2 linked regions of the Kluyveromyces lactis genome follow. The protein of the gene in region 1 purifies or fractionates together with the protein of each later gene. This does not show direct contact. Links are inferred from orthologs where the notes say so. Each region holds a gene or a part of one and is shown on either strand. Other genes may lie near its edges. The genes, in order: SFH1 and RSC9.

Region 1 (15,517 bases):
GCGAAGTGGGAAATTCAGGTTACTGTTATCGCATCCTTTCACGGAACATTTAAGGAAGTTTGTAGTTAGGAATTTCATATCTGCAGTTAGTTTAATGGGTCGGGTATAATTCGATTCACAATAACAAAATGATGCTGATTTTATTGGGACTCACTTCATCTCATCGCATTAACAACTCTGTTCGAATTCATTGATAATTCGATTTTTACGGTTTTTAATTTTTCATGTTACAGAAATGAAAAGAAAAGATTCCCATGCCAGAAAGAAGCAGGGTATGCATATGAAGAACAATATGTAAGTATTATAATCTTCAATATCTGATTCATTCCTACCTAACGTTAACACTCCAAAAATTAAATCAATCTTGAGGCAGACAAGCATGCTAATCGTTTCACAGACATTTTTTTAAATTTTTTTTATTTTCTTTGTTGAGATTATTCTTGTAGATATTATCCTGTCACATTGAGCATATGAATCAAAGCTACTCTTAAAATAACAGAAAGGAAAAGCCATGTATCCGTAAAAAAAAGAGAGGCATTGCTCTAGTGTTTTTTCGGATCTCAGCAAACATAAAAAGATGGCTCCTATCCTTTTTAGAGCTTTAAGCCAATTTCACTTCTTATGCTTAAGCAAAATACCATAAATAAATTAATTTTCGGAAACTAAAATTTTTCAAAACATATATTTTATTTTAAAAAATTCAAAATTCCACATTATTTTAATTAAAATTTTTTCAATATAAAATTAATAAAAAAATATTTTTAATTGCAATAAAGTAAAAGTTTAGAAATTTATTTTATATAAAAAGAGAGAAAATGTAAAATTTGATTTTAGTCACATGATGTTTTATGATTTTACTTAATTTTTGAATACATTACGTACGACAGACTCCACTGTCAAGAAGTTGAGCAGGTACTATAATCTTCGTTCCTGTTTATGCGTTTTTACTATTTATTTGAAGGTAGAACTGTTATTGAATGCTAACATTTGTGTTACTTTTGATTGATTTTAGTGAATTTTGCTTTATTTTATAGAATTTAATTATGTTTTTTGTATTTTTTTGAAGAATTTATTTTAACTTATTTTTTATTATTTTCTGAAAATATTTTTTTTATTTATTCTATTTATTATTTGCCATTATCTAAGGATTCTATTGCATATGGACAATTTGTATGTACAAATGAACTAATTAATTGTATGTTAAAGCAAAAATACAACTCTGGCTTAACAACACTCTAACCACTAACAGATCAAGAAACCTAAATTATTGTGATCATTAAGTATAGGAAAGGAGAAACCAATGGCTATTAATTAGTACGTTATCTTTCTATCCGACCATTTCACAATTTGGGAGACACTTTAAATTTGTCGTTTAGTTCTGTTTTAATATTCAGAAAAAAAAACAATTAGAGAATATTAGTTAACGTTAACACGATATTCAAGATCACACCAGGCAAATCGAATTCTTATCATACGTTGAGTCTACGTAAAACAAACAACTACTATGAGTTCAAGCGATGTTAAATCTGTACTACTAATTGGTGGATCTGGATTTCTAGGTCTCCATTTGATTCAGCAATTTTCTGAACTTAAACCACAACCTCAGATCCATGTTTTTGACGTAAGACCACTTCCAGATCGGATCTCAAAACAATTCACTTTTGATCCTTCGACAATTACCTTCCATCAAGGTGATCTAACGTCACCTGCTGATGTTAGAAAGGCAATTGAGACAAGTGGTGCCACGATCGTCGTTCACTCGGCATCTCCAATGCATGGTAATAGTCAAGAGATTTACGAAAAGGTCAACGTTAAGGGAACAAAAAATCTATTAACTGTCGCAAAACAATGTCGAGTTAAAGCAGTAGTATATACCTCATCTGCTGGTGTTATTTTCAATGGTCAGGACATTCACAATGCTGATGAAACTTGGCCAATTCCAGAAGTTCCAATGGATGGTTATAACGAAACAAAGGCAATTGCGGAAGAAATGGTGCTATCAGCAAACGATCCAGAAAATGACTTCCTAACAATAGCATTACGTCCTGCCGGTATTTTTGGTCCTGGTGATAGACAATTGGTCCCAGGTTTGAGGCAAGTCGCTAAGTTGGGGCAATCAAAGTTTCAAATTGGTGACAATAACAACCTGTTCGACTGGACCTACGCTGGAAACGTTGCAGATGCTCACGTACTAGCCGCACAAAAGCTTCTGAATCCAACTACTGCTGCGCTAGTATCTGGAGAAACATTTTTCATCACCAATGACACACCAACATATTTTTGGGCTTTGGCACGCACGGTTTGGAAGGCAGACGGTCATATTGATAAGAGAGTTATTGTTCTAAATAGACCCATGGCTATTGCTGCGGGGTACCTATCTCAATTCTTCTCTAAATTGTTGGGCAAAGAGCCAGGTTTGACTCCCTTCAGAGTTAAAATCGTTTGTGCCTACCGTTATCACAACATTTCAAAAGCTAAAGAACTTTTAGGATACCAACCAAGGGTTGATATCGAAGAAGGTATCAGAAGAACGTTGGCATGGATGGATGAAGGCTTATAAAGGCCAACTCTATATGAATTGTATATATCTATGTCTATCTATAACTTTACTCATCGTCACAAGTTAAACATTTGAAAGCACCCTCGTGTTGGCCCATGTTTTCTAAACAGGAGCTGTGGAAACTGTGCCCACAACTAAATACAACGAGTGCACTGCTACCACTAGCGGCGACCTCGTGGCATCTCGCTGACTCCCACTGTTCAAAGACTTTATTATCGATTCCAATTCCCCATATTTTCTTGCCACATACTTCACACTCATGAGACTGAATTGCCCAACCATGTTCTTTTCTGTGCATATAGGTTGTAATATCTGATGATGCACTTTGATTGATAATCTGTAAAATAAGAAGTTTCACTGTCTCTTCGACAGAATAAGCTGTGAAAATATTCTTCAACACCACTTTAATATCTTTGATTTTACTCAAGATAAGAGATTTGTTTTCAAATATCTCCATTAGGGTCTTCCAGAAAAAGCTCTCCTCCGAGTTTTCGATATCATTCAGGTTCCCATCTGAAAGCTCAATAAATACTTTCTGCAAACTTTTATCACAAAACGCTTTTTGATCATCGGTAAGAGTTGGGTATTGAGAGACCAAGTTTGATATCAATTTAACCCAGTTCTTGTTAGTTTCATCTGTCTTCTGGGATACACTGATGCCTAAATCCAAATAATTATCAATTTCGTCAAAATCATTATTTTGTAATAACTCGTTGATTTTCGAGTTTATTTTATCTATTGCCGACCCATAGTTCTTTAGCCGTACTAGCAATCGTATCAAAGTTCTCGAATCCCTATTTCCGTTAATAATATCTACAATACTCTCAACTTCGATGTTTTTAAGGTCAATATTGTCAACCCATTGTGATACACCGGACGCATCTCCGGTTTCATACAACAATGATAGATACTTCGGCCTTGCTTTCTTCAAAAATGGGGCAGATAGATGATAGTTCCCAGACAGAAGTATACGAAGATATCCTAAGAGCGTCAACGGATCAGAAATAAGAAGAATTTTTTCATGTAAGCTACTATCAAAAGAGTCTATGATTGAGACAAGGGAACGCTGATCTTGACAATTTTCGATAATCTTCGGAAATGTATCTGATAGAAGGTCGCAAATTTCACTTCGACCGATAGGCGATTTCGCTGTAGCACCATCACATAGTTTCAAACCTGCAATAATATCATTGCCATTCGTATTCCTGTGTTGATCGCTAAGAATAAAGGTAAGATAATCTGTATATCTTCCGGCCTTTTTATATAGCAGAAGCCGAACACGATAAAAATCCACTCCTGACATTTTATCAATTAGGGCGTTAATATTATCTGGTGAATAAACAGACAATAGTGCTTCAAGACAATCTTCAGAAATTTGTTCAAATCCTTCCAAATCAGCAGATAATATGACGTCTATTTGTGAGTCAATGATAGTGTTGGTTAGGCGAATAAACTGAGAATACTTTGGCAAATTGTTGAACACAAAGAGGGCAATAAGAAGTTTCACATGATTTTCTTTGAAATTCTTCTGTATGTCCAAAAGAACATCAATTATATGTTGTCTAGTAAAATGAAATCCATTTTGAGGGGATTCATTGAACAGAACATCTTCAAATGAGACATCAAGAACGTGCAAGAAATTTTGCGCACTTGATGATATTAAAAGGGAAGCATATGGAAAGGCTGGTTCTTCTGCTGGTAGGGGACACGTTAAAAGCTTTTTTCCAGAGCCTTGTGGCCATTCCAAAGAAGAGCCACTAAAAAGTAAGCTGTAATAAAAGTTCTTTAGGTATAGAATCTTTTTGGAAGGCACTCTTTTTTCTGTTGGATAAACTTTTCCCAATAAAGTTGATTCGATGTACTCGAAAAGGGTATTATCTTCAATGTTAGCATCAAAAACTACACAACATTCTTCTTTGCCAGCAAAGTAAAATATTATATCCACTAGGGGACTTTTATAATCATCCAAAATGGTTGTCCAGAGATATAAAAGTGCAGAGTAGAGACGAAACTCTTTGCAAACCTTGAAAGCATAATCCAAATCCAAAGTTGTACCGTCTAGCGATAATAAAATTGTCTCTAACCTTCTATCATTTCCTGAAGACACTGTGTATTCCATCACAGCCTTGAAAAGTATTGGTGAGAGGTATGTTACTGTCCCGTTAACGATTTTTTCGTAAAGTATTTCTTGAAATTCTTCGTTATGTTTGGTCATCAAAGCTTCCCCTACCTGTTCTAAAAGCACATACATCTTTTCATCTGAGAAAATACTTCCCAAGTCCAAAATCAATGATGTAGCTTCAGTGACCTTACTGTAACTTATATCATCTTTCTTCAGTAAAAATTGAACAGTTGCTAGTGTCAAGTTGTTAAACGATGGTTCAATTTGTCTGATTCTTTTCTGATAGTCTTTTTCCAGATGTAATAAGGCGGTTATCGAATCGAATGATGGACCTTGTAAATAGTAACCTAGGGTTCCTAATGCATTAATGTAATCTCCTTTATGTATATGGTGTAAGACAATATCGGACCATGAGTTAATTTTCCCCACCATTAAACTGTAATTGGTGAGCACAACAATCGTGTTATTTAACGTAGCGAAATGGTTCTCAGATTCTGGAACCATCAGTTCATGAATAAGTAAGTCAATACTAGTGAGTACAGGATCCTCATCGGTATCAACACTACCTATGTTTAAAACGAGAAGCTTACTTGACAAGAGCAAAATAGTCAAAATGTTATTTGTGAGCCAGGCAACTTTACAAATGCATTCAGGAGCTTCGTACGTCCATTGTAAAGTCGGAAACCTGATATCGACAAGGCTCAACTGGTTATCTACAGAGAAGGCAACCTGATTTGGATTGACGTCATTCCAGGAGATATATCCAAAAGTGGCCGAGTTTTTGTGTGACAATTCAATGAGCCGATAAGTTGATAAAGTTGGCGATGACAATGATATGACTGCGAAGGATCGATTAGATAAAACTGCTAACAGATGTTCAGCATCATAATCTTCACCGTTGCTTCGAATGCGCGTAGTCAATAAAGGGTTTATCATTGGATTCAGCCTCAAGATTTCTTTTGCACTAGGTACCAATTGCCAAAGATGATTTCTAGTACCCTTGTGAAGTACAATATGTCCTGTAGAATCACTGACTGCAATATTGGTATGTTTCCCCGGGATAAAATTAAGACCATTAAAGGAATGTCCTCTATGAGAAGCAATATGCAGCACGGCTTCTAGATGATTAGAATCGGAATTTTCATCGACTTGAGAGTTTAAGTCCCACAGGAATATATCACCGGATTCATAGGCTGCGCAAACATGGGTACCATCCTGATTTATATCGATAAATGTTACCTTGGATCTAAAATCTGGTAAAGATGGTGCTAGTACAGATTGAACGAATTGTTTCTTGTTAAAGATAACAACGGCTCCCTTTGCCGTACCTATGATATAGTAGAGCTGAACCGGAAGAATGAAAGTAGGTCCCCCATAATATGATAAATTCGGATACACTTGTTGCAATGAAGTCCAGCTTACATGCAGGGATTCATCCTGAGAGCTCTTAAAGGGATTAAACTTTTCGAAATCGGTTGTGTTGTTTCTCTTATCGTGGCCAGTACTATGAGAGCCATTCATTTGAAACTTGAATCTTGCTGGCAATTGACAAACAGGTAATCGAAAACTGTTTTAACCGAACTTAGACCGTAGGGCTTCTGTTGCCTTTCCTGTTTTTTTTTCTCATATTTTACCTTAAATGCAGCATGATGTTTAATTAATTATCTATATGCATTTATATTATGCACATTTCTATTCTTAAGATGCTCAGAGGCTGTAAACCTAAAAGAAAGATGAACATAACAGGATAAAAGAGACAGCAAGGGTTCGGGTCCAGCAAGAAAGCACGAAGGGGGTCGTTGAGAAATATAGTATATTTATTTATTCATTTATGTAAGGGGAAAAAGGTGAAGAACTTAAATTAGTTTAATTACAACTTTTGCATAGCAGCAACATCAGTAGATTGGACGTGGTCTTCATCTTCTTCGATAAGTTGTTGCAATTCATCAAGAGAAACCTTAGCATCTTCGATGACCATGTTAATTTGCAACTTCTTGATACCGAAACCAATTGGAATCCATTGGTGAGCACCCCAGTTCAAACCATCCATTTCGATGTTCTTAACGTTGGCAACCAATTCTTCCAAATCGGTTTCGTCATCCCATGGCTTAACATCCAAGGTAACGATAGACTTAGCAGCAGCCTTTGGCTTAGCAGCCTTCTTTTCGTTGTATTCAGCGATTCTCTTAGCCTTCAATTGTTCAGCTTCTTCATCGACATCATCGTCAGAACCGAACAAATCGACTTCGTCATCGTCATCTTCTTCTTCAGCAGCAGCTGGTGTAGAAGTAGCAGCTGGCAAGGATTCGAATTGATCAGCCTTGGAAGCAATGTGGTTGAACCATCTAGAGAATTCTGGGTAAGTAGATTGGAAAGCCTTGAAAGCAGAGACGTCAGCTTGAGTAGCAGAGGTACTATATTGATGCAATTGTTAGTTAGTAAAATGGAAAGAACAAAAAAATGAAATTTTTTTGTATGGCAGCTAAGCTTGCTTGCTGAAAAGAGAATTCAATAAAAAAGATAAATCAGAATCGTACTGTCTAGGTACTGTCTCTTTGTCACTCATACCGGGGGTCTTACTTCCCGTCATAAACACGGACCAAAGAATTTGTTCATCATTGAAATAGTAAACTTTGAAGAATTCTCTTATTCAAAAAACTGCTTGATGCCATTGGAAAACCACCACTATAATTATTTCACATACCCTTCAATGTAAGACTTGTCAGCCAAGAAAGTGTTCAACTTTTGCAAGGTTTCGACCTTGGAGAAATCAGAGAAAGACATCGTTAATGGATAGTTAAACCTGGTGAGAGAAGAAACTAGGAAAGAATCAATTCCTCTTCTTCTTCTTACAAGGAACGTTGAATCAAATTGACGAAAAAAAAATACTGAAAAGCTGATGAAAAACTCTAATTCGAAAAGTTCCAATATATATATATATATATTTATGAGATATATGATATGTAAGACGTATGTACTATGGAATTATGGCATCTACGTGTATTCAAAGTGCATGCAATGTGCGGTGGAAGAAAATTTTTTTTCTTCCTTGTAAGTGCGATGAGATAGATACTGGAAAGGCAACAGCAGAAAACAGGGCACGCTGCGGCGTGCCCTGCGACAATTTGAGAAAAACCAAGTTTATTTTCAAAAATCATGGGTCCACCCCTTTGAAAAACGATTTTGCCATAGTAAATGGTTCCAAAACGGTACGGATTTTTCTGAGAAAGTGTTCTTTTTTTCATTTTTTTCAAACTGGATTCCTTTTCTTTTGACAAGTGAAATGTTTACTCAGGGTAACACTTAGATTGTTCAATCAACTCATCACTGTATACGAATATGAAAAAGTATCCATCAATTCAAGAATAGAAGTGCAAGTTCGTGTTTTAGGGCTGGTTGAATAAAGACTATGATAGTGTTACTACAAACAAACGGTTTACTCATTGAAGCGTGCTGATATACAGCAGACAAAGCAACTACGACCTGCCTCCCAAAATTGTATTGATATGTCGCTCGTACCGCAAGCCTACTTGAGTAACTTCCATAATAGAGTGAAGAACGAGGATGTTCCGTTGTTTACTGCTGCGCAGTTATCGAGAAACAAGAGGGGTAAACAGGTGAACTACGCTGAGTTCGATACGGATCTCTTGGATGAATTCATCGACAAGAACGATGAGGATGATTTGGAGGATGATGTGGACGATTCGGATGGTCGTCGTAGGGGTGGGGACTACTATGATCAAGTAGACGGTAGTGATGGAGGTGCTGCGGCTGCTGCCGCCACCGCCGCCGCAGCGGCGGGACTCGGTGAAGATGGTGGCATTGGTGAGGGCACGCCCGGGTCTGGTGACCCCGGTGCTGTCACTGGCGGAACGCCGGCTGCAGATACTGGGCCAGACGGTACAAACGATGGTACTGCAGGAACGTCAAATCCTAGCTCAGAATTGGATCGCATCAAACTAAACGACTTGCCCGACCTTGAAAGTCAGGATGATTCTGCCACTCCGCTAGCTTTGTTGAAATATCCTAGGATTAGGGAAACTTTCGTGCAAAGTAGGATCGCTATCAGTTATAAAGACCTTCTTGGAGATTCTATCCAGGATCCGCAGCAAGTGGATATAGAAAGCCCGATAATGGTTCCAATACGGTTAAACGTTGAATTCAGTGGACACAAGTTAGCAGATTTTTTCATGTGGAATTTGAACGACCATTCGATGACTCCAGAACAGTTTGCTACGATCTTGTGCCAGGATCTTGATTTCCCAGTGCTTTCCAACCCAAATAATTCCCCATATACACAGATTATCTCTATGATTAACGAACAATTACAAGAATATGAAACATTGGCATCTTTACAGGTTCCTGATTTACACGTGATAATAAATTTGACTGCAAATCTCGATTCCAAGCTTTATGATGACACTTTTGAATGGAACCTTAATGACGATTCATTATGCCCAGAACAATTCGCAGAATTGGTGGTACAGGACCTGGGCTTGCAAAGAGAGTTCGTTCCTGCCATTGCACATTCGTTGCATGAATCCTTGCTAAAGGTAAAGAAGGATTGGCTCGAAGGTAATTTGAATTTGGCCCATGTAGAAAATAAGGCAGCTTTCGGTTACACATCAGGTATCCGTCTAGATATAGATACACTTGGCGCCTCATGGTTCCCTAAGGTAGAAGTCCTCTCACAATGGGAAATCGAAAAGCGTGAAATTGAAAAGGAGAGAAACATGAGAAGATTAAAGAGAGAAAGTGCCAAGGTCGATGACGGAAGATCCAGAAGAAGAGGCAAGAGGAGAATGGATGACTTGGAAACTACTTTGAGAATATAAGTGTGTTCTCTTTTCCGGCCAAGCAGTTTAACTTCACAGACGCCCATTAGACAAAGCTGTATAGAAAATAAAGTTCTCCATCTATTCGTGGAGATTTATGTATCATTAATGTATTAATACCACCGTCATCTGTGGTTTTGCACAAATACTCTTCCTTTTCGTCAGACTATTATTTATTTAGTCGCCAAAAATCTCCACAACAAATAGAAAAAGATCAAAGATCATCGCGAATCAGTAATGCGTACGCTGGGAATAATAAAAAGTACATACCCGAAATCCTTATTACTTCAATTACTATGCTCCACGAAGTATTATACAAGCATTTAGACGGCATTTTAGTCTCACGTTTGTATACTGAGGATCAGTTTGTTGATCTATTTTCTAGAACGATACCGGAATCCAACACTGTGATCGCGTCACAGTTATACAAAAGTTATGAAGAGAATGATCAACGGATCATTGAAAAAATAGATAAACTCATCGACAACAAGCTGTCTTTGATAAGAGTTGAGCTCGAACGGGAACAAATTGAAGACTCCATTTCTCTCGAGGAAGTAAATAAACTATTGCATAGCATTGATGATATGTTGCAGCAGCATTTAAATCAATTAAACATTGAACTAGATAATAAAAATACAAAACTTTTGAAATATGCAATGGAACTCAGTGACATTGAAGCAATAGATACTTCCATGTACGATAATGTTGCAAAATTAATAACGGACATGGAAACCAACCAACCTTCTAGTTGAAAAGCTCAAGAACACACGGTAGAATCTATTCCAGGCACTTCCAATTCTTCACCAACCCATTGGAAGACTTCATACTTGGAGTTCAAATCTTTGTTTGAATGCATGCAGTATCCATCACCTGAATCAGGTTTCAGTGCACCGCTGACCGACATAGGATTGATGAATATGCATCTTTTCACTCTGGAATGAATTAGTGCCATGCTGCACATTGAGCACGGCTCATGACTGGTGTATACGTCAAAATCTAAGCAGAGATAAGTTTCCCCTTGATGTATATCTTTTTCTGACGCGGTACCGTTTTGGACACGGTCTCTTCTCTCCTGCTCTTCTTTAGCTACCTCATTTATTCCGACCATAACACTGTGATCGAGGGGAGATCCACTATGTCTATAATCCTTTGATATTATAATTTTACCAGATTTTGGATTAACGAATGCCGATACTATTGGAAGTTGCATGCTATCCGAATCTCGGATTGCTCGAGACTCTTCTGCTATCTTGGTTAACAATGACCGAATCTCTGTCATGTCAAATATATAGTCGTTTAATATCTGGTCATTAGGATTTCCTCTCCAAATTAACGGCCAATACTGTTCACTCCACTTCAACATTAAGCTTTTAGTCGATGGACCGACCTTCGGTACTTTGTTATCGTCTTTCACATTGTCATACTGGAAAACGACTCCTTTCAGCATATTGTCAAAAGTTGATCTATCCGGTATGTACTCTTTGGAGCCGATAAGTACTCGTAGTGTGTCGCTATCAAGCTTCTTGATCCGTTTCACATGAAGGAATGAAACGGGGTCATTATCCTGAATACCTCGTACGAATGGTATCACTGACTTACTTTCCCTTGGACGTACTTCGATAGACCAAGCCTCAACTAGATCAGGCACATCAACGTTTTTGGTATCTCGAATTTGCCAGAGGCAATCTTCGACGATGCATTTTATAAAATCGATCTTAGTGGGGTTCAGATGTTTCTTAACCATACTGTTAGCTTTTCATGTGAATAACTAGTAAATCTAGAGCTATAATTAAGCATCCATTTCCTTTACCCTTTACATATTAGTATATCATCTCATCGCATCGCATCTTACATTTCTATCATTGAAAAATTCATATCCAGAAATTATAGGCTACGAAACACTATTTACCAGTTTAGATCATGCTCGTAAGAAAGATGAACACTGAGAATAATTAATAAGAACCTTAAATTGATCATCGAGATGACTAAGGTGACTTCGAATAATGACCTATATCAATTGGTTTAGATGAAAATTCTTGTCGAATATTTGGAATCTTTAGAGTGCTATGAAACCCTCAGAAAATCGGATATTCTGATCAATGCTGACTCTAATGGGGTATCCAATCTGTTACTCAGCTGTTTCGCACAAGTTAACAGCAAACATTGCGTACCTCCTGAAATTGAAATATCTTCTACTTTCAGCTCATCGTATCACTGTGAAACTATAGAAACATGCATTCTCTACCTTTTGCACAAGAATTTTACGAATAATATACTGACTTATGGTTACCAGCTGGGAAAGAATTCAGATGTCATGACCAAACTGTTTTGCCGTTCATCGAACATAAGCGTAAGTGTATTGAAATGTAATAGCTGGAGATTGTTCCATCAGCTGGTTGGCACTGACAATTTTGTGAATTTGTTAATCAACTATTCCGTATATTTCAACACCGGCCATTACTTCAGGCAGATAATTGGAACCCCCGCTAACGCGCCTCAGGTGCCACCTGCATGGCTAGATCGGTCGTATAGGAGGGAAAGAAATACTAAGCTAACGATAGATTGGAACTCTGCTCTATATCATAAGATAAGACCGCAAGATTACAAGAATATCATTGAGACTGATCAGGGGCTGTTAATAGCTGAGATTTTTCCGAAAATATCAGAGAGCAGTAAGACACCTCGTTCTCTAAACTTTGCATTGAATAATCTAAAACCCATTTTATATGAGCTCATTCGAGCTCACGAGAGGTTTTCATATAGACACATCATCAATAATATATGCCCCAAATCAGATACTTTCTATTCATCACCCAAAAGTGTCATCAAACTGCTCATTGTATGTGTTAGAAAAACGTTCCCATTGGACCTGTTAGGATCAAATTCAAACTATAGCGTTCTATCAAAAGCGATTGCAATACTTGTCAAAAAACCGCTCCATTCAAAGATACTATTTGATGAATTATGTAAAGGATTGCGTGTGAAAGATGTCAAATGGCTAGAAACAAGGCGGCTTCCAGCTGGTGAACAAACTCAAAAGATTCCATATTATGATGTGAAAAATCGACAAGCGCTTCTTTATAAACTGTTTTTTTGGATCCTTTCCTGTTACGTCCCAAAATTACTATCTACATTTTTCTATGTGACAGAACTATCGTCGACTGTCGATATAGTTTATATTCGTCATGATACTTGGAAAACCATGTCACAACCTTTTTTGAAATCTTACTTTAGGAGGTATTTGCTTGAGAATAAATATTGTTTCCAGCACAGATCTTTCACAGAATCCAAGTTCAATCACAGAAATCTTCGTTTAATACCAAAAAAATCAGGCCTCGATTTCAGAATAATAGCGGTGCCGTGTAAAGGAGTCAATATACAAGAGTTTAACGAGTTTAATGATTACGTTACGAACGCTCTGAAGCCCACCAAGATTATACTGGAAAGATTGAGGATGAGACGAAATACCAAGTTTACAAAAGCATTCTCTCCTTTGGAAATACCCAAGATTGTATTAAGTTATAAGCAAAGGCTACTTTTAAAACATGGTAAAATACCGAATCTCTATCTTTTAAAGTTTGACATTCAATCCTGCTATGATTCAATTCCGGTTCAGAAAGTAATGAAATTGGTAGAGGCTCGGATATGTGAAGAGCAGCAGTTTTTTATTAGATCTCAAGATATACTGACAACTGCTTCCACTCGTCTGAAAAGGCTTCATGCTGTAAATGGAGACATACAATTCCAGGAAAATGATTTAGTAATTGATTCAGTCAAAACTACTGTCTTATCAAAAGAAGACGTTTTAACAGTAGTTAAAATGGAACTCTTCAAAACCAGTATCTTTTACAGAGGCAAGTGTTACTTAAGAAAAGATGGACTCTTTCAAGGAACTCCCTTATCTTCCGTTCTTGTTGATATATTGTATGACGACCTACTTGAATTCTACACCGAGTTTACTGATGAAAATGATTCAGATCCGATGATAATACGGCTGGTGGATGATTTTCTAATAGTTTCAACTTCCAAGAAATACATCGAGCGGCTTAATAATCTGGCTCAAACAGGATTCAAATCTTTCAATACTTATATAAACCCACAAAAAGTCTTGGTTACTTCATCAGAATCTGAAACATCAACAAATGTACCTTTTTGTGCACTGCAGTTAAATCTAAGAACCCTAGAAGTTTGGAAAGACCGCTCATCGTATAATGTCCTAGGAACAGTTTTGGGATCATCTAAGCAACTGTATAATAAATTACTCTGGATCTTTGAGATGAGACTATCTTATAATATGCTGGACGAGCGCTTAAATTCTTGGGAAACGGCTGCAAGGTTCCTGAGAGAAGTTGCGTTAAATGTAATTCAATCGTTCATTGTCCTTTTTAATAGGAAGAAAAGCAGCAGAAGATCTTTCAAACAATTTGTTTTCAACATTTTTCAGCGAATTGATCTTAACCTCTCTTCAGCTAATATGTTCTCGATGGAAAAGTCCGTCGCGTCAAAAGAACTGGTGTTGTCAGTTTTCCTTGAACAATTAAAATTAAGGAAGAACGCATTTGCAGACATTTTGACAAATGTCAGCGATTTGAAACTATTAATAGAGTTTTAATGCTATTACTTAAAATTATTGTACCTATATCAGACCAAAATTAACACGCAGATTTTCTTCGTCTTTTTGTTTTCTTAGGCGTTCTATCTCCTCAATGCCACCGGCCTTTTTGAAGTTACCTTTCTCAACGAAATTGCCCAACTCATCTTCAAAGGCTTCATTTTCCTTGTACTCTTTCTCTCTGTTTCTTAGTTTTTCTGCCTTTTTAATGGCTTCCACTCTACTGTCATGATCTGGGTTGAGATTCTGAACTTCAGTCAAGACTTGATCGCGGATCATATTATATGTGCCTGGCTTGGCTATCGGAAGAATGGGGTTTCCCTTATTCTTCTTTGGGGCCTTTTCCTGTTGTTCGCAGCACAATTTAACCAAATCAAATGTCTCCATAACCTTATTCAAGTCTTCTTGTAAATCAAATACGAGATCTTCTTGCAATGTCATGAACTGTTGCTCTTCACACACCCTATCTAATTCCGCTTCCCAAATAGTTTTCCAATTTGGCTTTTCGACATCTATATAATTTCTCATTTGATCCAAATCCTTCTTAGCGGAGTCTAATTCAGACGATACATTTTCAATCTTCTTCTTGGGTGTTCTCGCACCTCTAATGGCCACATCTTTACGTAATGCCTCAATGACATCTTGAAGATCGTCAACTTTACTCAAAAGATTATCAGAAACTTCGGATAACTTCGACTGGGACTTTTCCATATAATCGCGATTAGCTGACTTTCCTGTAGTTATTGAAAGGCTCTGGAATTTCTGTAGTTTTTCCACGATAGCGTTTATAGTATTTTGAAGCGATCTCTTTTGGTCGCTATGTATCTGTTTTAAAACGGTAATTTCGTGCCTAATATGAGCAACTTCTTTACGATGATCCTCATGTATAACTGTTGCAGAATCTGAGGATTTTGGACCACTTGAATAATCTGGTGACGATACGTGAGTACTATTTTGGATAATCTCTTTCAAATTTTGAAAAATTGTATCTTGCTTTTCTAATAAACCATCTTGAAGTTGGCGGAACTGTTCATCTAGAGACGATGATTGTACCTGTAATTGGAATACGCTCCCATCTATTATACCATGTAGGTGACTCTCTTCAAGTTCGTAAAATGCCTCGTATTTGGGTTCCTTCACATATATGTCAGGGAATACATCACCTCCTGGGGAATATGCAAATTTCTCAACAAATAAAAGTCTAAGCTTGTTGAAAGAGAGGTGAGAACTAGTTACACATCGTTTCACCTTCTCACCGATCTTCAAAAAGACAACAATTTCATCTATGCTTGAGTTATCACCTTTTGGTTCTGGTGCTCCTGTCATGGGATGATAATCTACGGATGAAGCAGAAGAGATTCGAGAAGGCTGTCTTTCCATTTTAATGC
Region 2 (16,027 bases), on another chromosome or scaffold:
ATGCTCAGACCATTTCTGACTAGCGTAAGCCTTCAATTCTTCAAGTGAAGTGTCTGCATCCTTTTTAGCAGAGTCACCAGTGTCCTTCAAATATTGAATAATGTCTTGACTAGACCAATTTTCAAATAGATTGTTGCAAATAACTACTTGGCAAGCAGCTGCACAAAATATCAAAGCACTACTAAGCTTCATCCTGCGTATTAATATTGTTATTCTGTGTAATAAGCTATGTCAATAAATCTTATTAATAACAGACACTTTAAATGATATCCTATACAAATATACCTAAGCCTAAAAATGCCAGTTGTTAAGCAAGAGAAAGTGTTCCACGTTTGTTGATATATATATATATATATATATATATATAGAATGGGAATTGCCAGAACAAACTTCTAGTTGACAGTGACAATGCATCACACTAAGTTGTAAAAATCGATGGCCACACTTAGTTCCAAATAATAGCTCTACACACTTATAATAAGGGGTAGGGTGACATGGATATACTCACGCATGGTCTAGCCAAGCTCACAATAGCGTCAGTTATGATGTTCGCTAACCCGTTACCTTTTTCCCTTATTTTTTGGATTCTAAAGACGTCTTTTTGCTAATGTTAAAGAAATGACTTTTGCGGTTTGCTAATGGCAGCAAGAAACGATGCAAAAGGACGACTGTGTCTTAAAATTGCAGATGGCAATGCCACCATTTGTATTGTGCCTTAAGGTAAAAATTCTTCCGGACGCCGTGATGTGTGGAATTTGCTTTGATGTATGTATGAGTAAGTAATCAGATCAGATCACTGAGAGTGATAACTCTGGGGGAGTTAGGGTCTAGGAAACTAATTAGGTAATTAGAATGTGTTTGAATCAGGGCAGAAATGGAAAAGAAGGAAGAGAATCAATGGGTCGTTTGAGTCGATTTGATGTTGAGATTACACTGAATCATCGGTTGATGATCCGTTCCTTAGCGTGGAATTACCACTTTTCGGTCACATGATCAACGTCAATTGCCAGGGAGGTGAATTTAAACTCGTTGTTCCCATAACCATTTGAAAAGGACTTAGGCTGTCACAGAGGGGATAGTCAGTGTTCATAAAGAGGATAAACCTAACTGTCAGAACTATGATTAGAATCACTAAGCAACAGCATATAGTCTTTAATCTGTCCTTGTTACTATGTACGGAGAGCATTTATGTAATCATTTACCCGGATATAAGCCGTATTATTGAACTCGAAATTCAACAACATGCAAAACAACGAAAGATTCGAGATGGACTTCTTAATATGTACAATGACAGAAAAGGAAAACGCGACTAATTAGATGGAGCTTACTTTCTTTGTACCTATATCGGCGATCTAGATACCTTAAACACACCTTCTTTCGGAGACTCGCTTTTTTCTAGTTTTGTGTGATACCTAGTGCTTCACAAATCAATAGATGTCCAGCCATTCAGTCACTCCGGTGATCAATGCTGAAGGAGAAACAGCGATTCCAAGCTTGAAGACATTGCCCGCAACACAATTAAATATTAGCAGAGACCAGACCAATGGTATTACCGCTAAGCCTGTTGCTGGGTTGCAACAATCATTAGGCAGTTTGCCTATCTTCAATCATTTGCCTGTAAACTCTAAGATTGGTGTTGATGATCTCACCCGTATGAAGATGGCATTGTTAAGTGGAATAGACGAAGAAGTTAAATTTGCATTGAAAAGATATTTACGGTATAGCATTAACGCTTCTTATGTTATCAAATTGAATGAGAATTTGGATTTGTTGCCCATTATTATGCCCTTGATTACAGCATGCAGAGAATACATTCCACAGCTTGTTGGCCCAATTTCCAATCAGGCTTTTGAAGCCCTACAAAAAGGTTCAATTACAATGCTTCTTTTGAGAAATTTGGCACAGGACTCGGAAAACACTTCGATATTAGCCACCGATATGGAATTGAAATCGTTCATATTGTTCGTGTTGGAGTGGGCAAATACGTTCAATTCGAAGGATTCGGCAATCTATCAGTCACATACATCCAGTTTCAACGAATTGTTAATCTATACTCTTGATTTAATGGAGGCGATTTCATCTTATATTGCACCAGCAAAAAAAGACGATCTATATTTCCAAAACCTCTGTTTGATATTTCGTGATACAAAGGATAGATACTGCGTGATCTCAATTTTGAGATCATTATCTAGACTCTTGGTGAGATCTAAATCGGACCAAAAGAGTGCAGCAGATAATTTGGATGATAGTTTGTTGAACAAGATTGTTCATAACCTTTTAATTGATAGGGATGAAGAGTTAATAATTGCTTCATTAGATTTCCTTTATCAATATATATTACCTGGTCATCAGAGAATAAAGACATTACTATCACATAAGGAAAGATATGATATCCTAGTTAGTACTCTCCCTGTTCTCCTCACGTATCATGTATCAACCCCTGATTATCATGCCCTTTCGAATACTAATATCAAACTTATACAGAGGGTAAAACCTCAACCACCAGCACACGCGCCTGAATTGCCAATGCCACTGCTCAAGGAATTATTTGAGCTAAACGAACCAATGCGTGCCACTTCCTGGTTGAGATGCTGCTTTGAGAGATCTCTGAATGGCGAAGTAACACAGATTCTTCTATGGAAAACTTATGAACAAACATTCAGCGAACAAGTAAAACTAACAGATCGAAAATTGATAACTGCCGTTGATTTCATTAAAAATGTTTCGAATGCTTTGCCCGGTGCATCCGCTTTGGTAGTTGTAGATGAAGCAACGTCGAAGAAAAAATTTGTAATAAGAGGTATACAGCCTCGCAGAAAAGCTCTTTCAATCGTAGAGGCAAATAAAGATATTGACCAGTCCTCGCCTATACAGACTGAAACCCCGGATGAATTTGAAAGCAACAATACTCCATCGGAAGCAGTTCAAATTTGTTTGCCAGATATTGTTTTCCCCGAGAATCTTTCTGATGTATCTAAAGCAAGTGCGTCATTCCTTTCACTTGTTTCTAACGATAGTACCGAGATCGTGGCACAATTTATTCATGATATGAAACCTTTGATATTACATCAAATTGCTGACGTGCCACCTTTAAATACTGTTCTTTTGGACTTCATACATTCAGGTTGAACTTACCGTTAGGCCGATAGAGTAATTAAAGTTGTAGTTTTGTAATAATTAAATGTATAACGTATCGATTAAAGGTAAAAATTAAACAACGGGAGACCTAACTAATGTATAAAATTGAATTAAAAATGGTGAAACAAAATAAAAAATAGATGATAGCAATTCTGACAATATCAGAATTTTGTATCGAATGGATCAGCGTAAACCCATTTTTGTCATAATAATCGTAAAACTCATCAAATAATAAATAAATAAAACTTTCTTCATGAGACAGATTGTTCATGGAAAGTATGATAGAAGTATAGTAAGAATAAGGTAACATCAGCAGAAAGTTGTTTAGTGCATGGAAGAATCTATAATATCTTTGAAACTCTCCACTTTAGAATGATGATCAGATAAGCCTTCAGATTTGTAAATGGCAGAAATGGAATCTAAAAGTACCATTAGCGAGGTCTTGCTAACGTTAAAAGAACCATTATCATTGAAGTTTATAACCTTTACAGCGTTGTTCAAACATACTGATTCGACGATGTTGTTGAACAAATTGTCAACCAAAATTGGGTTAATTTTTTGCCATATATTGAGCAACTGCAACATTTGGTCTTCGGTGAAAGTTATTGTTTTAAGATAACCCCTGAATCTCATGTAGTTTTCGAGTTTGGAGTAATAGTTCTCTATAATAGAAGTATCATTTAAATCAAGAAATTGCATAGAATCTTCAATATTGTTGAGAATTTGTTGGGTAATTTCCATCTTAATGCCAAAGTTCAACTTCAAGTCTTGTGAAAATTCCTTTCCTTTGGTCATGCTTTCGTAACAGTGAATCATATTGTGGAAAGAATGTTGGGCTGAGAGCACGTTCGCTAACTGCAACGTGTTTTCGATTTGGAAGTCTACATCAACAGGAGTTCCGGAGAATGATGATAAAAATAATGCAAAAGAGTACTTGTCATAGGTTTGATGATCGATAACATCTGGGAAAGATTTAAGCAGTAACATTGCATCTTCAAATTTCTTTTGATTTATTAGATATTCGGATCGAATTACGCCAAGGGCAGCAGGCGACATAGAATCTTTAAACCTCGCTTCTTGAGAAAGATAATTATCATAGTCACCTAGGCGAATGAAAGATTTCAAGATCAATGAAATGTCTAGGCATGGACAGATTTCATTGAACATGATAACTGATTTATAGTCCTTCGCTCTAAATAGCGCTGCAAATATAACCGCGGTAGCGCCTTTGTACTCCGCTTGAGAAGTAATACTTTTGAACCTATCGGGGAAACCAACAGCATTAATAAAATTCCGGATGTTTTCACAATTTAACGCAAGCTTTGATAGCGATTTATCTGTTAGGTTCTCAAGAATCTTACTGAATAACTGATGTTGAATTACCTCCTCTTCCAAAAGATTCTTTGGACATTTCACAACAATACAATTAGAGATATACTTGAGGGTTTCCTTGTCTGGACATAAATTGATAGTCTTGGTTATAACATCAGAGGTTATGTATTTCTGGTGAATCAATTCGGAGAAAGTATCATAATCAAATTTGTAGCCATCTTCGGAAAGTCTTTCATATTGCTTGAACCCTGTCCTTTTGGAGTTACGCAATACCGGACCCAAGCTTAATGGGTAAGATTTGTCCCAGTCACCAGGGTGTTGGAAATAAGCCACAGTATCTTCGGAAAGATCGACCATTTTCATAGCTTGAATTGCTACAGGGGAAATCTTGTTGGCATCCAAATGAATTCGTTTGTAGTTAACGCAAAGCTTTTGGAATCTTTCAGCCATTTGTTTTTTGAAATCTAACAACATCTCATTTTGAATATCCAAATAGTAGGTATCTAGATCATATAATCTCGAAACAGCTATTCCATGCAATTCAAGATTGTAAGAATAATCCTGAATCAATTGAGGAGTTTTCCACAACGTTTGGAAACAAACAATGAAACCTGCGTAATTAACTGCAGAAGCGTTTTCAAGAGTGAACGCTTCACAGGCACTCTTAAAGAAAGGCATTTCTGATACCTTCTTCAAGATAGGTTGCGATTGATAGTTTTCGACCAATGCATTCAAAAATTCGAATACTAGAGGCTTGCTATCGGTTGAAAGTGCAGAACCATGAATATTCACAAAACGAAGTAAGTAAGGCTCCGGGCAACCTATGCTTTGGAAGTAGCTAAAAATGTAAGGGTACAATCCTCTTTGGAATGTAGTCTTTTTCACATTCGATTCTTCGACCAATTTCATAATGAGCTCGTCGTCTTTTTGCCTTAGGGCGTATGTCAATATAGTGCTGGGCATCGATTCCAATCCACTTGGATACAATAAATAATTTTTGATTTTATTATCGTTTTTCGTGGTGTTGAATGACGTTTTCATAGGGAAAATATAATTGTATATTCTTTTCACCAATGGCCAATTAGTATTGAGGCAGTTTGCGATCATGACCAAGTAGAATTCATAAGAGAATTCTGGTACCCATTTTAATTTACTGAATTCCATCAACAACTTATATGCCTTTTCCGAATTTATTTTACCGACAGATATCAAAAAGTTCGAAATGACCAAAGAAACGTTCTTGTTATGCCCATCTTTTGCTTGTAGATCCACAAGAAGCTTATCTAAGAGCTTTGTAGCTAAACTTAACGATCCAGTTTCAGCAAAAGCTGATACGACGACAGAGTACACTTCATATTGGTGTTCAACCAATTGCATATTTTTCAGAAGTTCTGATCTAAAATCTTGATAAAGGTCTTTTACTGCCTCATGTTCGTTCAACATCTTGGCGTACGAGATTAAAGAAATGTAATAGATTTCATTCTTTGAATACTTCACGTTTGAATCAATGAAATTCTTGATATAGCCGTACTTTATGTGGCCAGGGTATAAATTGATAGCCAACAAAAGATTATCTAAAAACTCATGGTCGAAGGACTTATTCTTATTCAAATTAGAAGCAAAGAACAGATCAATGGCAATTTTGAAAAAATCTAATCCATTGGTGTTGTGTAACTCAAACGCTCTGATTGATCCAGACAACAATGAACCTACAACAAGGTGATAGATTTCTGCGCTTGGTTTTAATTTATTCTGAATTATATCTTGGTAACAGTTAAGTAATTCAAACATTTGGTTATCGATATTATTTTGATCTAAGTCCCTTCTGCAAATAGAAGTCAAAACTTGTTCAAATAATGACAACGGAGGAACAATTTCATTTCTTATCAACGATTTATAAATTGCGTTAACCTGATTATAATTTTTGTTCTTCATGCAATCTTCTATCAGCTTAGATTGTGTTTCTAAAAATGCTTCTTTATTCAAACATGGTTCCAAATCTGTTTCCCATGCCGGGATTGAGTCATCCAATCTTACATCTTTTAAACGATCTAAGAGAGCTTCCGGCACTGCACCTTTATCCGTTTGTTCTTTCGCTCCAGATTTCTCTAAACTATGATGCTTTTCGACAGGAGGTGAAGTTGGAGGAGTGATCGGAGTTGCTCGTAGATTGTTATTTGCATTATTTTGAGAATTTTGTACCTTGGTAGAATAATAACGGGTAGACAACTTCTCGTTAATTAGAGCAGATTTTTCATTCGATAGATAGGTAAACGAGTTGGATCTCTTCTTCTTATTGTGGTTGGCACCATACGAGCTCTTCTTCGAATAATTTACATCATGTTCGCCAGAATAGAAAATTTCACCATCCTTTTCATAAAATAAATTTAGCTCCTCTGATTCTAATCTCGACAGCTCTGCGTCTCTACTCTGTAAAGCCCTTTCCACGTTATTATAATTAACGTTGGCCACCACTACGGGATGTGGAACAGCAGTCAAAATGTTATGTTGAGGAATAGCAGTATCCAAGTTCACAAGTCCCTGATTCTGTTTCAAATACTGGTACGAGCTATCAAAAAAGGACGTTGCCGATTTATGTGCAGAGGAATGATACCCCTTACAGTAGAACTTACATTTCAATGATTTGAAGTGCATCCTGTCTTTTAACCCACTATTTGAACGATGTAGAGAAGAAACAATAAGTCCGAACTAAATACCTTTCCTGTCAAAAAAGAAGGACAATTATCCCAAGGTACTCTTATTTTACGGTAAAGTTAGATTCGTCTTATGGAAGCCAATATAATATCTATCAACCCTCCAAATTAACAAAGTGAGACAGTAAATAATTCAACGGTCAATAATGATGCAATTAGTCCAGCGTGACAGGGAAGGGAAAAAAGACCAAGTCAATCAGTGAATATAAGAGAGATGATTCCAGCTTGAAGCTTATTCTATACAGAGAAACTAAGCTTTACTGACTCTGTAGCTCCCTTTTAATATCAACTTTTGTGCTTACTTCTTGATTGACCGCTGAGCCAATATTACCGGTAGGGATGAATATTTGATTCTATAGATATATGAAGTTTTCTCTTTTCCTATTTCTCTACTTTCTGTTTTCTACTTTTTTTTTTTGTCAAATTATCAGTTTTCTTTATTTTCTGTCATTCTGATACGGAGGGAAAAGAAGCATTCTGATATGCTGCAGAGATTTAACAGAGGGAATCCCCCATAAAAAGCACGGAAATTTTATGAACGCTTATTATTTAGAGCCGCGAAACTACTTCTTACCCGGGGATAGCTCTTTTGGTTAGTCATTTTTTCTTAGGACATGAGCGTATTACCCTAGAAACAAAAGTAGTCAGATCAACCACCAGGTCTATTTTTGATCCCTGAGCTGTGATTTGCTGTGACGTGGCACAGAATTAAACTTTACCGTGCTTCAGTAATATTCCTATTGGTTCTTTCTTCCGGACACACTCAGGAGTCAGAGGGCTAAGCTCTGCAACTGTTGGAGCTTACTAGCTTTGTTACGATAAATTCCTCAGAAGCCGGAAAGACGAGCTTTATGGTGTGGTGTCCGGGTGTTTTCATAGAAACTACCGTAAAACTGTATTGCTTCAATCATCTTTTTTTTTAGCGTTTTCTGTCGATTGTGTTCTATTGGCCGATTTCTGGACGGTAGCGATGTTTCGCATAGTAAATTCACTCAGACTGGGAAAAGTAATTCGAACGAAAACAGTGCTAAGCGATGTTCGTATTTACAAAAGGATCGTAAGGAATGACTAGCTATGGGAAATAGCGTATTTTGGAATTGGACCGATATTACCATCGGGAGATAGGATTGGATGTGACATTCGGAAGGAGAGGCTTACTGCTAGCATACAAGCTAGGAATATGGCAGGAAGAAGCTCTGAAAAACACAATCAATCGAGCAAGGTAAGTTTAAGTTCAGTAATGAATGGAAAGGCAATTAAATTTACGTGTGTGGTGTGTCTAAAATATACATATAAATATATTTATTTTCTGCCTGTTTGCGTTTAGTGTGGGGACCAGCAAGGTATCCGAGGTGGTTGCAGGATATGAGATTGGGTTGCGGATACGAAGATGACGATAGATACTATCTTTTGCTTACTTTATCTCAACGCAAATACTGTTTATTATGAATAAAACAGAAGTATCACATCTTTAAAAATACTGGTGCAACATAGAGCTAGCAAGGTATTTCTTTTTTCCTTTCCTCTGTAAAGTAGTTTGTCAGGTGGAAGGGCGCAGATCAGGATTGGTCAACGAGTAAGATTTATTAAGGTTTCAACAGAAGACAAAAAAATCAAGATATCGTTTTTGTAGATAGACAACAGAGAAAAATGGATGAGAATGATAAATGAATTTGTTTAATGCATTTTTCTATGCATTGAATTATTCTTTGATAGCGTAAGATCTTCTGTACCTGTCGTCAACATTGGTTAAATAGTAAGTACCTGGGTACAAGTTTTCAATGGATCCGGTAGGTTCGAAAGACTTTTGTAGATGGGCTTGTTCTCTCAACAGGATAGCCTTTTCGTAATCTTCTGGAGACTCGGTCTTTCTGGATTTTAGCTTGTTTTCAACGTCCAACACATCGACGATGTGTTTGATGTCACCGACAACCTTGCACGAGAACAAAGATGCAGCCAAACCAGAACCGTAAGAGAACAAACCAATACGCTTGTTTTGTAGAGCATCCGAACCGACGTAGCACAATAGGGAGGAAAGTGAAGCATATACAGAAGCAGTGTACATGTTACCAGTGTTAGTTGGGACGATCAAGGAAGGAGCTACTCTTTCTTTATGGAATGGTTTGGCAACATTGACGAATGTCTTTTCCAGATTCTTGTCGGTCAAAGAAGTTTCATATTCGACGGAAGCCAAAGATGCATCGATTTCAGGGTATAGAGATGGGTTGGCTCTGAAGTCATTGTACAACAATCTACCATAAGACTTGGTAACCAATTTACAAGTTGGGACATGGAACACGTTGTAGTCGAAATGTTCGGTTACGTTGATGGCAGAGTTACCAGCAGGCTTTGCTGCTAGACCCTTGGCGATTGCCTTCTTTGAGTAAGCCTCGTAAGCCTTATCCAAAGCCTTGACGTAACAAGTTAATGAGAAGTGACCGTCAACGTAAGGGTATTCACTTGTGAAATCTGGCTTGTAGAAATCATAAGCGTGTTCCATGAAGGAACCTCTTATTGGATCGAAGACAATTGGAGCATCTGGACCGATCCATAGAGCGACAGTACCAGCACCACCAGTTGGTCTGGCAGCACCCTTCTCATAAATGGCAATATCACCACAAACAACGATAGCATCACGGCCATCCCAAGCAGAAGATTCAATCCAGTTCAAAGAGTTGAAAAGAGCATTGGTACCACCATAACAAGCATTCAAAGTGTCAATACCCTCTGTATCAGAGTTTCCTGGGAAAAGTTGGGTCAAAACAGACTTGACAGACTTAGACTTATCCAGTAGAGTTTCGGTACCAACTTCGATTCTACCAACGTTGTTGGTGTCGATGTTGTAGTTCTTCAAAAGTTTAGATAGAACAGTCAAAGACATAGAGTAAATATCCTCTCTGTCATTGACGAAACCCATGTTTGTTTGACCCAAACCAATGGTGTATTTACCGGATGAGACACCGTCGAATTTTTCCAATTCTTCTTGGTTGACACACTGTTTCGAAAGGATAAAGTATAAATGTTAGTAAGACTGGGTGAGGTTGAGAAAACAACGCGGTGAGGGCTTCTCGTAGCAAAGTTTGAAGGATCAGATGCGCGTTTGGTAGGATATGCTCTGTCCATATTAAAAGATGCATTTATCCAGTTAGTTAATACTGTTGTGATTTCAACTTCAATGCAAATCACTTTGTTCTTGTTTTTCTACTAGTGGCGGCAAAACCAGAGGGAACACATATAAGGACCAACAGCGCCTACAAAGAAAGAAGACCGAAGAGCTGATAGCTAGTAAATTTTCCAAATGATGCCTTCCTATCCATAATTAAAGAACTGGCCAATAATTCCCTCTTGTTTGGCAACTATCTGTGTCCGTTTTTTTTGTATTCCTCGTTTAAGCTTATTTGCACAGCCGCTGTACTTCAGCAAAGTAGGAACAGAAGTCTCGAAAACGCTCAAATTCAACAAAATATGCAAGCCCGTGAGTTGCTATAACAGTAATTGACGTATTAAGAACATACTTGAGATGGGATGTAAATTTCGATACCCTTGATACCGACGTTTTGAGGTCTTGGTGGTTGATCCACAGTCTTTTGCTTCTTGGCTAGATCTTGTTCAGTCATTATTTCTGAAGGGTTAGCTGAATAACTATGGGAGTTGTGTGTTGATATAATCTACAGCGTAGTATGGTATAAACAACTTATATTAAAAGAACCGCTGGCAAGAGTTAACACTTTCTTTCATTACCTAAAACACGAAAGTTCATCATCAGTGTATCTTATTTTTTTTCATCTTTAAATATCACGTCGATATTTTTCTCGTTAAAAGAAAAAAAAGGCCATCTCAATGAAAATTTGTAACATCTGTCGTTTAAGAAAAAAAATGGTACAATTTTGTACAGCCAAGGAAAGAAACATATATTATGATACAAATAATTTTGCTGGATAATTCACCTCCACTGCGTAATTTGGTCCATTTTTCGCACGTATAATTAGAATTACAGAGCATACGAGATAGCGCTTCCTTTTTTTTTGTTGAGGGAGGTGCTTTTTGTGCTCTTTTTGTTATCTTAGCGATGAGAGTATCTTTATAAAACAAATGTGTAACGTTCAAGCTTCAGCTAAAAGAATAGTTCAGCCAGTGAACTAGGCTGTTCTTGGAGCTGGGTTGTGATATCCATCAAATATGTTTTAGTAAATAGGTACTTTGATAATTGCTTAGCTTTAGAAAGTGAAATATTGAAGTCAAACACCGTTATCTCCTTTGTTTCGAATGCTCTCCACTTTTCACCTTCAGGAGTAAGAACGAGACAAGTTTATCATCATCTTCCCATTAGAATAACCTATTTTTATTGGCGAACTCCTTAAGTAACAGCGTGTTCTAGACAATGTCACTAGATGTTCAGCAGATGGACGTTTAGGATGACTGTTTCATGATCGGCCTATTCGTTTGTAAGTGCTTTATTTTTCGTGCGTCATTTCAATACTATATATTCCAAAAAGGCGCAATTAAGCGCTATCCTAATTGACAACCAAGAAGATCACGAAATGTTTCTGCAGTGATATATACTTTCATTGAAGCTAGAAGTAGAATAAGACTCATTCTTAATGCCGATGTCTGATTTCATTTTTGAAATGAGTGTAAAACTATGGCTTACTGAAGTTCATAGGCTTGTTTAGAAGTTAAAGGCCCCAGAATACTTACCGTACCTTCAAAATGGCATCTACAAAAGAGCTGGTTATTAGTTATAAACTTAAAGCGGTTGTGACTCTTGAGTAGAAACGCCATATTGGTCACGTGATATTATTTTAATAATGACAATTTCAACCTGTATAACATGTTAAGCAAAATTTAAACTCAAATTAAAGAATAGTTATGAATGTCAAATTCGCTTTGTACAACAACGGTCCTTTTGCAATCAGTAATTATTGTGTGAACGGTCATTTATTGCATCACATGGCAGTTTAAAGTATCATAAAACCTAATTATTGGAGTTTTTGTTGTAAGAGTTACAAAAATCGTTGCTATCGCTCCTTTGCATTGAATAAAGAATACTATAGCCATGAGCACTGTGAATAAGAAGCCTGCGTCTTTGAAGTATAAGATAGGCAAAGTGAAACAGATACCCACTGTTGTTAAAGATGATAAGACTGGTTTGGAGTACATTCAGGTTCAAAGCAGAGAAAATGAAAAGGTGTACGGTGTTACTAAGTTTCTGAACAACTATCGTGAGGAAGAAAAATTAGGGCAAGGTACTTTCGGTGAAGTCTTTAAAGGGATTCATTTAGGCACAAATAGAAAGGTTGCTATTAAACGTATTTTAGTACGAGCAGAAAAGGATTTGTTTCCAATAACAGCTCAGAGGGAAATTACCATTTTGAAGCGCATGAATCATAAAAATATCGTAAAGTTGATTGAGATTGTCTACGACGAGTCACCAACTCCTAAGACAGATAGTACGTCTCCTCGACCTGTTGGGAACTATCATGGAAACAACACGGCAAATCAGCAGAAGCTCATAACAGGTAAACACTTTTTCATGATATTACCATACATGGTTTCCGATCTAACAGGGTTGTTACATAACCCCAGAGTGGAGTTCGGCATGGCTGATGTTAAAAACATCATGCTACAGCTGTTGGAAGGTATTAACTATATTCACTGCAATAAATTTTTGCATCGTGATATTAAGACAGCCAATATCCTTATAGATCATAAAGGTGTCGTAAAAATTGCAGATTTTGGTCTAGCAAGAAACTATTATGGTTCTCCGCCAAATCTTAAATATCCTGGTGGTGCTGGATCAGGTGCTAAATACACCTCGGTCGTTGTTACACGTTGGTACAGAGCTCCTGAAATTGTATTGGGTGATAGACATTACACTACGGCAGTTGATATTTGGGGGATTGGTTGTGTATTTGCTGAGTTCTTTGAGAAAAAACCAATCCTTCAGGGTCAAACAGATATTGATCAAGGACATGTCATCTTCAAACTCATGGGAACACCATCGATGGATGAATGGGGATTAGCTTACCATTTACCTGGATCCGAGTTGACAAAAACAAACTATAAAAGTACGTTGCAAGAAAGATTTTCGAAAGCGTTGAACGAGACAGGTTTGGATCTTCTCTCTAAATTACTAGCTCTAGATCCATACAAGCGTGTAACTGCCATGAAGGCTAAAAAACACCCTTTCTTCTTCGAAGAACCGTTGCCAAATGCACAGCTAACTTTGCCTAACGAAGAATGCCACGAATCCGATATTAAAAGATACAAAAGTGAGATGAACGAATCTATGTCTCAAAGACCGCCATCTGCCCCAACAGGACATACATCGACTGATAATTCCATAAGAGCTGTGACAGGTGCTGCATTTCCAAAAGAGGCTTCAATACCAAAGGCTCCTAGACCAGAACACATAAAATCAACCATTCCAGCGCAACCCTCCGCCTCACGGTACAATGGTGCAGCAACTCAGAACATCCCCAAAGAACCTATTCCGACTGCGCCTCTTCCAAAAGGTCCTAAAAACAGTATACCGACTGGACCAAATAAATTACCACCGAATCCTCGTGATTCATATGCATCGAAATATCCGGCTGAATCAAGGTTCGGTGTGAATACAAGAATTACTACCGAGTCGTATAATGCCGGGAAACGTTACCGTAATAGAGGAGGATGGGAAACTGGTAGAGACAGTCTAAATTATAATAACAATTATGCTCCACCTGCTGATCGTTCGCATCATCCTACTATACAACGTCCTTCTGCTCCTAGAGGAGGATCCTATCCTAACAGATATCAAAATCAGGACTACAATACCTCTAGAAATACAGGGTATAATCAATACAGCCAAGCTGGTGATCGGAGAAGTTACAGACCGGGAGCTTCTGAAAATCCAGGGACCATTGGCCATGGTAGCTCACAATCTACGCAAAAAGATTCCAAGTCATCGCATTCCAACAATGTCAAACCAAAAGACGTTGCAGACTACTATTGATTAAATTTAAATTGGGCTTGAAACTATGCTGGTACTTTTCTACTTTTTAAACCCAACTTGACATGTTTTTTCCCCAAAGTGGCCTGCTGCTTCGAGATTGTTAAATAGTATATAGATAGTTTACGAGGGAAAGTGCGTTTGTTTCTCTTCATGTATCCCAGAAATTCATCCATTAAAGTGCTAACCAGATTATGATATGTGGTCTGTGAATGATATCATTACGTATAAAAGGGAAATTATGGCTGATGAAGATTTTTTGCTGGTATAAATTCATTGTTGATGTATCCAGATTTGGAAACCAAATCAAAATTACGCACGTCAATAATCACCAAGCAGCAACTTAAATATACTGATAAACAATTTAAACATGGTCATTAAGTTATGCACTTTCCAGCAGAATTGAACCCTGGGGTAATTTCTTTGTTGGCGGTGCATCACAGAAATTCCTCGAACGTTTCAACTGATGCTCGATGTGTTTGCTATAAACAATTCCAACAAGCAAATAGGTACCGATTTGCACAAATAATTAAAAGAAGGCAAACAGTGCCTCATTTTCACACTGTGTTTGAGTATCGATTAGAATGTCGGTATAATAATTCCACCGATCTTATCATAGCTTTATTGTTTCATTTTCCTATTTCTTGGACATTTTGAGGTTTGTACCGGAACTTTGCATGTTTCATGTCAATATTGCCCAAAAAACACGCTGGAAGGGAAAAAGGAAAATGATTTGATCACAAACAATTCAACATTGTTTCAAAAGATCCGTTACTGGGTGAACCAGGATATAACCACGCCGTGATAATCTGAAACAAGCCATTAAGATCATCAACATTTGCCTTTATATATAGAGCACCAGGAATGCTTTGAGCCGTTCGATACAAATGTTAGCAACCCTACTTCTCGAGAGGTGATACTTGCAGTTGGTATTTATGTGGATTGTACGTTACTGCAAAACCAAGAACTGACAACTTCGAATTTATTCAGACGTAAAGACTGTTGGCTTCGCTTCACGAATTAAAGGGGGGTTTAGCTGTATTTATACCAGGAGGTATATGCATGTTGTACTGTCGCGCTCTTTGTTATTTTTGATTTACTTCTTCTTATGAATAGATAATATGGTCTCGGAGTCAAATAAAAAGGAAAAAACGCTGCATGAATTGTTTTCTAATAGCTTCGACCGCTCACCCGATGGCTCAATATTAACTCATGAACTGAAAACAGTATTTTCTATTATGATAATATGTCTTCCGCTGGAGGAAAAACCAAGATCAAGTAGCAATCGACTCTTGAATTTCGCTAAGAAAAGTTTTCCGTTCACATTTTCAATTACGGAGGCTATTGATCTACTACAGGAGCTGGAGCTTAATGTGGAAATGAATTCCACTAGTATCTACATCAGTTATTCCATCAAACCAGAACTGGGATACCAGCTATTGAACACTTTTATGAAAGCTAAATTACTACATACACCTGCGGATAAGACAAGAAGTCGGCCAAAAGAGAACATTCTTTTGCAGCCGACTCCTAAAGGGGTGGCCGTAACGTGTGATTATGCCAGGAAGTTTGCATTGAAAGAGCTGCCTCCAATATTAACTTCAAACTTCAATACGATGAATCTTTTCAAGTTCGAGCGAAATACGTTAGATGATTCTGTCATTCAAAGCGAATACTTCATAAATCTATTGTTCAACAAGGTCATGGGTCCAAAACCTAATATATGGTCCCCAAAAAATCCAACAGATAAAATTCCTAAGCTCTCTGACTTATTGGATCAAAGAAGCTCAGATGTTTTCTCATTTGAAAATGTGTCACCAGACTTCGCCGTAAACGAGCTTGGTGAAAACCC

The links.
Region 2: the proteins of SFH1 (region 1) and RSC9 purify together in Saccharomyces cerevisiae (affinity purification with mass spectrometry; 5 studies listed by BioGRID). This does not show direct contact. The link is inferred for Kluyveromyces lactis from reciprocal best matches to the Saccharomyces cerevisiae genes SFH1 and RSC9.

Annotation. Positions count from the first base shown.
Region 1 is NC_006039.1:1,623,477-1,638,993, reverse strand, and holds SFH1 (Sfh1p), read left to right. Parts: upstream 1-8,188; coding exon 8,189-9,517; downstream 9,518-15,517. Other genes in the region: RNA methylation protein TRM112, read right to left, coding at 1-78; ERG26 (sterol-4-alpha-carboxylate 3-dehydrogenase (decarboxylating)), read left to right, coding at 1,505-2,560; CORVET complex membrane-binding subunit VPS8, read right to left, coding at 2,607-6,203; EFB1 (translation elongation factor 1 subunit beta), read right to left, coding at 6,553-7,096, 7,387-7,466; NKP2 (Nkp2p), read left to right, coding at 9,814-10,269; TAD3 (Tad3p), read right to left, coding at 10,275-11,261; EST2 (telomerase reverse transcriptase), read left to right, coding at 11,544-14,129; BUD6 (formin-mediated actin nucleation enhancer), read right to left, coding at 14,154-15,517. UniProt on the Saccharomyces cerevisiae protein: Component of the chromatin structure-remodeling complex (RSC), which is involved in transcription regulation and nucleosome positioning. RSC is responsible for the transfer of a histone octamer from a nucleosome core particle to naked DNA.
Region 2 is NC_006040.1:880,715-896,741, forward strand, and holds RSC9 (Rsc9p), read left to right. Parts: upstream 1-1,434; coding exon 1,435-3,129; downstream 3,130-16,027. Other genes in the region: double-strand break repair enhancer MSC1, read right to left, coding at 1-192; RPM2 (ribonuclease P), read right to left, coding at 3,463-7,125; ERG13 (hydroxymethylglutaryl-CoA synthase), read right to left, coding at 8,887-10,179, 10,700-10,801; cyclin-dependent serine/threonine protein kinase SGV1, read left to right, coding at 12,241-14,178; GTPase-activating protein SST2, read left to right, coding at 15,297-16,027.